Macaca mulatta: one gene and its partner. The protein of the gene in region 1 purifies or fractionates together with the protein of each later gene. This does not show direct contact. Links are inferred from orthologs where the notes say so. Each region holds a gene or a part of one and is shown on either strand. Other genes may lie near its edges. The genes, in order: CUL2 and COPS8.

The links.
Region 2: the proteins of CUL2 (region 1) and COPS8 purify together in Homo sapiens (affinity purification with mass spectrometry; 4 studies listed by BioGRID and IntAct, counting the BioPlex papers as one, with this or other methods). This does not show direct contact. The link is inferred for Macaca mulatta from reciprocal best matches to the Homo sapiens genes CUL2 and COPS8.

Annotation. Positions count from the first base shown.
Region 1 is NC_133414.1:36,434,911-36,438,732, forward strand, and holds part of CUL2 (cullin-2), read right to left. Parts: intron 1,699-3,822; coding exon 1,574-1,698; intron 1-1,573.
Region 2 is NC_133417.1:142,320,157-142,324,523, reverse strand, and holds the start of COPS8 (COP9 signalosome complex subunit 8), read right to left. Parts: upstream 3,013-4,367; 5' UTR 2,930-3,012; coding exon 2,852-2,929; intron 2,163-2,851; exon of another isoform or gene 2,098-2,162; intron 1,769-2,097; coding exon 1,698-1,768; intron 294-1,697; coding exon 245-293; intron 1-244. UniProt on the Homo sapiens protein: Component of the COP9 signalosome complex (CSN), a complex involved in various cellular and developmental processes.

The DNA of each region.
Region 1 (3,822 bases):
GGATAACAAGACCTGAATTACCAGGTCTATCACTTTCATAGAGGCTTATATAAGCAAAGACTGCCTGCAAAGTCACTGAAGGCTGAGAGAGAGGAGAGTTAAAAAGCCAGTAACCCTGAGAACAGAGACCCCTTGAACTCAGCAAGACAATCCCTCACATCTCAGAGAGAAGAAATACCTAATAGTGCAAAAGTGAGTTTTCCCTCTTAATGGAGATAACCATGAAGAAATTACTACCTAAGACTTAACTAAGTCAGCTGGATTTGAGTCTACTACAAATGTATTCACTTATGTTTCCATCTCCCAGCCTTGACACAAAATTCTATGCTTCTATGCCCCATGTCATTGGACATGGAATCTATAAACGTAATAACATAAACTAGTAAGTTTGACAAATAATACAGAGTAATAAATCTGCATAATACAAACTAATAGTTCTACAAAAATAGAAAACTGTGGTAAAAGGAATTTGAAGAAATTAAAAAATAGTAAACTTACACATGATTGTGGCAGAACATAAAAACTAAAAATTATTACTTGCCAAAGACCAATCTGTCGCTAAGGTAACAGCCTCTAAAAAGTGCTCCTGAACAGTGACGGCTACACACATACACACAGATACTATCTTTTTTTTTTTTTTTTTGAGACGGAGTCTTGTGCAGTCACCCAGGCTGGAGTGCAGTGGTGTGATCTTGGCTCACTGTAAGCTCCGCCTCCCGGGTTCACGCCATTCTCCCGCCTCAGCCGCCTGAGTAGCTGGGACTACAGGCGCCCGCCAACATGCCCGGCTAATTTTTTGTATTTTTAGTAGAGATGGGGTTTCACCGTGTTAGCCAGGATGGTCTCCATCTCCTGACCTCGTGATCCGCCCGCCTCGGCCTCCCAAAGTGCTGGGATTACAGGCGTGACAGATACTACCTTACAGATTAAGTCAAACAGCTCTACTTAAGAAGAGATAGTAACAGTTGAAGTTACGTCTCTCTTGCTCATCAACCGTCACCAGTAATAACAAGATTTGGTGATAGGAAAGACAAACTGTTACAGTCATGTGATTGGTAAAGTACTCAAGGAAGATGAGTATTAGGGACACGAGGGTTATTGTTTCCGGTATTTGGGGCAGCAAGCATATACTTACAGAAGATTATTTGAATCTAAATTTGCTTACTAGACAACCAAATTCACAGAATATGGAAAGGAGGAAAATTACAAGTTGTCTATATTACCGCTGATTAATACTACTACCATGACAACAAACAATGTTATCAACGCCAATTACAGAAAAACACAGTTACTTAGAAATGGCAAGCTTATTTTTCTGTGAAAAGTTAACAACTGTTCAATGGACACCTCCGTATGGCTAAGCAGCAGCCTATCTCATCAATAGCTTTCTAATAATTTGATAATTCCAAAATGAGTCCAACAAGCTCTAGGTTTAAAACATTTGAATAAAGACATTTCTTTTGTTGGCATGGTAAGACTTTTTCTTTCATCTTTCAAAATAGTAAAGTCAAAGGAAAGACTCCACGATGGATCTGATTAGGAGGAAAACACTGCAGTTCCCCACACAACTCACATTTTCCTGAGTAAGGTTGCTGGTTGCTCGAAGGCCCTCATCATGGATGTGGTTTTGTAGCTCCTGAATCATATGAGGTAAACCAGTGGACACAGCACGGAGTAAGACGTACATATTTGCCATGTCTGAGAGGAAAAAGACATCTGAGGATTAACTCCTAAATATTTTCATTTATTAGGTAATATATGGATCCAAGTGCAGGAATACAATCCAAGTGCAGAGTACCCAGAGAAAAGCCCCCCATGCCCACCTCCCAGCCACCCAAGCCCCTCTCCCCACAGGAAAGGGATGTGGTTATTTAACATCTTCCCAAAGATATCTTGTGCAAATTCAAGTGAATACATATATTCTTCCCTTTGCCCCTTTTAATACAGTGTACTGTATTTTGTATATTATTTGTAGCTTCAGAACACATTTTAACTTAGTAGTCTTTTCCTATCAGTACACAAAGCATTTCTATGTATTTTACAGCTGCACAGTACTCCATTATGTGGATATATTATAATTTCTTAACAACTAATGGAAATTTAGGTGGTTTCCAGTCTCTTGATATTGCAATGTTACAATCAATAATCTTATACATGAGCAAGAATATATGCAATATAAATTCCCAAAAAAGTGAGGTTACTGTGTCAAAGTTTAATCTTGTAGACAGATCCTTCTAACCACAGCTGCCAACAGCAGAGAGTTCCTTTGCCAACAATGTGTTACCAAACATTTTGATCTCTAACACTGGGAGGTAAATAATGATCTCTCAGTGTAGTAGGTTTTATTTTAAATGTTTTATTAAAGCATCATACATACAGAGAAAAGTATACAAACCATAAGTGTGTATCTTACTGAATTATTACAAGTGAACACACAACACACCTATGTAATCACACGCAGGATAAGAAATAGGCATTACCTACACCCAGGAGTCCCCTTCATGCCTCCTTCCAATCACACACTCTTGCTCCTCTGCAAAGGTAACCACTGCTGTGACTTCTAAATCACAGATGAGTTTGAACTATATATAAAAATGGGATCACACAATTCTTTCACAACTGGCTTCTTGTGTTCAACAAAATGTGTATAAGGATCATCTATGTTGTTGTACCTGGCTTTAATTTGTTCATTTCCACTCCTTTATAATATTCCATTGTATGAATATACTGTACTATTCTACAGTTACTGGACATTTGAGCCGTTCCAGTTTACGGAGCTATTACAAATACTAATAATATGAACATTCCTGTAAGTCTTTTTGTACATATGTCCAGGCACTGGCGGTCAGAAGGTACGGTGGGGTGGTTATACGTTTAGGAGTAGAACTGCTGGATCATAAAATATGCATAATATATCCCACTTAGCGGTCAATGCCAGTTTCCCAAAGTAGTTGCATCAATTTATACTCTCACTTCAGTGTTCGAAAAGCTCCTGCTGCTTCACATTTCTTTTTATGTTTATTGGCCATCTGGGTATCTTCTATTCTGCAGTGTCTGTTTTTTGGCCATTTTATATTTTGGATATAAATCTTTGCTATTGCAGCTACATTACCCTATAAGTGTCTTCTGATGATCCAGTGGTTTTCATGGCTTTTTTTTTTTTTTTTTTTTTTTGAGACAGGGTCTCACTCTGTCACCCAGGCTGGAGTGCTCTGGCAGGATCTCGGCTCACTGCAACCACCACCTTCCAGGCATGAGTGATCCTCCCACCTCAGCCTCCCAAGTAGATGGGACCACAGGTGCACACCACCCCACCTGGCTAATGCTTGTATTTTTTTGCAGAGATGGGATATTGTCATGTTGCCCAGGCTGGTCTTGAACTCCTGAGCTCAAGCAATCTTCCTCCCTCTTAATGGCCTTTTAATAATCCAAAGTTTTTCATTTTAATGTAGTTCACTGGATCAATTGTTCCTTTGTGGTTAGGGCTTTTTGTGTCCTATTTAAAATATCTTTCCCTATCTCAAGGTTATGAAGATATTCTCCGATATTATCTTCTAAAAGTGTTATTTTTTTTACCTTGTACATTTAGATAAAAACTCTAGTGAATGGATTTTGTATATGGTATCTGACGTAGTGATCAAATTTCATTTTCTTCCGAAATGGACATCCAATTGACTGAGCAATGTGTGCTGAAAACACCATCTTCTACCTGCTGCTCTGCAGCGCCACCTTGGCCTTACATCAAGTGGCCACATATGCATGGGTTGTTCTGGGGTCTCTTATTTTATTGTGATATCTGTCTGTCCTTGTGCCAATGCCTCA
Region 2 (4,367 bases), on another chromosome or scaffold:
AGGGAAGCTGCACATAGAATTGTCTCAAGAAATCTAATCAGTAGGAACTGGGCACAAATTCTACATCATCCCAGCAAAATTCAAATTTCTGACTAGAGGACTCTGAAGATTTATTTTGAAACCTTAATACTAGTTTGATGACTATTTCTAGGACGTCAGACAGAAAACAGAAATTTATAAAAGGTTGCCATTTAAGGGAATGTCATTACATTAAAGCAGTAAGGCAGGTTTAAAGGATACTTACAGATTTTATAGCAGGTGGTATTCTTTTCCAAAGATATCTTGCATTATTCCTAATTTACGCCACCACAAAGAAGAATAATCAATTAAAAACATAATCATCTCCGTAAATGTTAAAAACTATCAGGTCCCAAGGCAAACATTCAGAAGTATACTTTACATAACACAAAGTAAAATTTAGTGTTATATGAATTTGTTTTGGGGAAACAATAGTAGTTTTCCAGATAAAAAGGACATGAAATATTTTTACCAAAGTAATATTCTGCCATTTCTACTGAACTTTTTAAAAATAATAATCCATATCCTAAATTAAGGCAACAGCACACTAAAAACACAAGGACGTATAGAACAGCCCAAATGATTTATTCGGATACAAAAGTAAACAAATTTATGTACTATGAAGGCTCCAGCATTCCCTGACAATAAGCCTGGTACACAACACTTCTCTCCCTGTCACAGTCCCTCCTACCAGTGGGTACAGAGCTTCTGAGGCAGGAGTTTGTATGGGTTTGGAGGCTTGAACTATGACAAACATATAATGATAGTTTTACAAAAAATAAAAAACCAAACGTACATGTGTAATAAAAATTTCAATTTAGTTTTTAAAAAGATATAAAAGAAAGGTTTTGGAACAATTTAAAATAAAATTTTATCAGGAATGATCAGTGAGTCTACAGGAGAACTATAGGAGATTTTTTTTTTTTTTTTTTTTTTTGCACAGTTACGCTTTCTTTTTGAGACAGGGTCTCACTCTGGCTGCCCAGGCTGCAGTGCAGTGGCGCAATATCGGCTCACTGCAGCCTCGACTTTCTGGGCTCTGGTAATTCTCCCCACCTCAGCCTCCTGGGTAGCTGGGATTAGAGGCATGCGCAACCACATCCAGCTAATTTTTTGTATTTTTAGAGCAGATAGGGTTTCACTATAATCCCCAGGCTGGTCTCAAACTCCTGGACTCAAGCCATCCACTTGCCTCAGTCTCCCAGAGTGCTGGGATTACAGGTGTGTGTCACCACGCCTGGCCTAGCATAGTTATGCTTTCTGACTTTTCCATGTGAACGTGAAATAGGAATAATTAAAAATTTAAAAAAACTTTCAAATCTCATACATGTTTGTAATGAATCTCTTGGCTGCAATCTTCTCTTTCCACTTCTTTTGTTTTATTAATATGAAGTAAATAAAGATCATAAAAGTATTTTAAAAAGACAAAGATTAAATGAATTTACTGACATAGTTTCTCATAATAAATTGAAATGTTTTCTAGAAAGTATATATAAGACAATGACGACCTAATCATAATTCATTAAGCTATGATTCAATAGGAAATAGATGTAATAGTTATTATAATAAAAGAGGTAGCTCGTTGTGCCTATGTTTGGTGGTGCTACTTCAGGGCAGAAATATTTCCATGTAACTTTTGAGAAACCTGCTGCTCTTGGCTTTAGGTTAAACGTACTTACATGTCATTATGGAGCAAATATAAAGCTAGAAGCTGACCATACACTGGGGGTGTAGCAATTCCTCCAGGGGCCTAGAAGGCCAAAAATGAAAACAAAACAAAACAACACAAAATTTAAAAAACCTCATTTACCCTTTAACTTTCATTTTTGAAATAATATTTTATAAATGCTAATTAAAAAGTAAGCCTTTTTAGTCTAAGATTATAAATAATCTTATAGTCCTAGTATAGATTTAGAAACAGCTTAGAGAAGTATTAAACACGAAAATCCTAAGTATTAAGTTTATATTCGTCATCAGCTTTGATTTATCTCCCTTTGGGCCTCAGTTTCTCTATACATTCAAGAATATGTAAGAGGATCCCCTTCCCCAGTTCTCAAATTCCCATTTAAATGATCTTACTAGTATAAGAAACAATTTCGACAGATTCCTGAAGCATTCTGATTCTGCCCATTACATCAAGCGTCCTGAATAAGAGACAGAAAATCACCACAGCTGCGTTGCAAAGACAATTCTTTCAATTTTAACTCAATTGGGAAGTGTCTATTGTCTATTAGTGAGCTGCTTCTTCTGGATGTTGTCTCCTTTAGTTAATTTTAAAACTAATGATATAAACGCTTTTAAGTGTCTAAAAAAAACGTTAACTTTAACAGCTGCATAACTTTCACTTGTCTTACTAAAGACAAAATGGCAAGCTTACTTGACAACATTACGAGAAAGGCTCTGTGAGTTAAGAAAAGGTTACAATGGTCACATCTTTCTTGGTGTGTGTGTGCGCTTTGGGGTGTGTGTGTTGGTGTGTGTGTATATACCAAGATCTTTAATAAAATCCACATTACTACTCTCTCCCAACCCGATACTGGGAATGAAAGATGTCTAATTAATATGAGCTTATCGATAGGTGCTGGAGCAAAGATGCACAGGGTTTTCGGGATCACAAGCTGAAGACATATAACAAAAAGGTCCCGGTGACTTAGGGGAGACCGGGCCTGGTCGCAGCAGGCCGCGACGGTCAGGGCTCCACACGTCCACCTCCCGCGCCCGCCCCGCGAGCTCCCAAAGCCCGCGAGCCTCAGACCCCGTTACCCTGGAAACTGGTGCCGCCCCGGGGCCTAAGACTACTCCGCAGTTTCTCCCAGGGAACGCAAAGGGCTACCTCGAGCTCCTGGTTCTCGCACTGATCCAGCAACTTTTTGAAACTGAAGGCACTTTCCGCCATCACCGCCACTGGCATCTTCCCGGCCGGTCTCGCCGCCGCACCTTCCGGACAGCCAAACCCCAGACCGTCCCTCGGGCGTCGCGCCCGCGATGACGTTTAAAGCCGCCGTTGCCGCCGAGCGCCCCTGCGTACCAGATCGTCAGTTCCGGGGCGCCGTCAGACATTGCCGCGGCCGGGATAGGGCGCCGCCGTTCTGGCCGGCTCTCTCGGTGCCCTGGAGGACCTGGCCGGCTTGGCTGGAAGCTGTGCTCAGAGCGCACGGCCGCCCCCTGGCAGGGAGGAGTTCGTTGCACTTTTGAGGGTTCTTCACGAAGACATCCAATATATAGAAAACAACAGCAACAGTAGCGCATTTTTAAATATTAAAATTGCTGGGGAACACGACGGATCCTGCAGCTGCTCGGCTGTCCTGGTCAAGTCGGCGACCCTAGGGCTCCGCTCCGTGCCCTGCATACCGTAGGCGCTCACGAAACGTTCGTGAGTTCCCCGCTTTGAGGAGACAAGCTTAAAAACTCGGAATGTAAGGTTCGAGTCTCCCCAAACCTGCTTGTTGGGTAGCGTCTCCCGCCCGGGCCCGCCCCGCACACCCCCCACTCCGGAACCACGCTTCTGCAGCCGGGACCCCTGCCTCCTTCCGGGCTATTCTCGGAACCGCAGCCAGAGGGAATTTTTTTTTCTTTCCTGAAACGTAGAGCAGATCTGGTTACTCTTATGCACAACGCCCTAAAATCCAGGGCCCTTCCCGTCGCTCAGAATTTACGGCTAATTCTCAGCTCTCCCCCGGCTTGCTGTAGCCATCCTGGCCTCTTCAGTTTTAGTTTCGCACAGCACTGATTGTTAGCGAACATTATATATTGCATATTATTTATTAACATACTTGTTTTTTACATCCCTCACTAGACCCCCAGGAAAGAGGCTTTGATTGTTCCCTGCTGCAAGGCTGGCTGCATAATTTGTGGGTCTCAGAGAAAAAGTGCAGAGCTTCCTTATTCAAAAAACAGAAGGAAAGTGACTTTAAGGTCATAAAATATAAAACTTTCTCATTCCTCTCAGTTTCTCTCTTTTCATAGTGTTCTTATGGGTTATTTAATATCATTCCAAGAAAAATTTAGATTTAAATTGTTAGCATGAAGTTTACCATTCATCTTTACGTTGTGCAATGCCAGTTTTAAATACTAATATAAGTGCACTGAACTCATATGTGGAATCACAGAAATGATACAATTTGTACTTCATAGCTTATACATGCGTATGTATTTTGTTTTTACCAGAACCACGCTGCACAAAGTGAACTTACCTGTTTTCATCGCACTTTATATGCACGAATTCTACCTCCACTCTCGACCTGGGACTCACTCCTGAGTAAGGAAGGACTGAAAGGCAAAAGGACCATGGACTGGCCTTTTGGCATAATCAGGTGTTTAATATAAAGAAGTGCACGAATAAGAAAAGA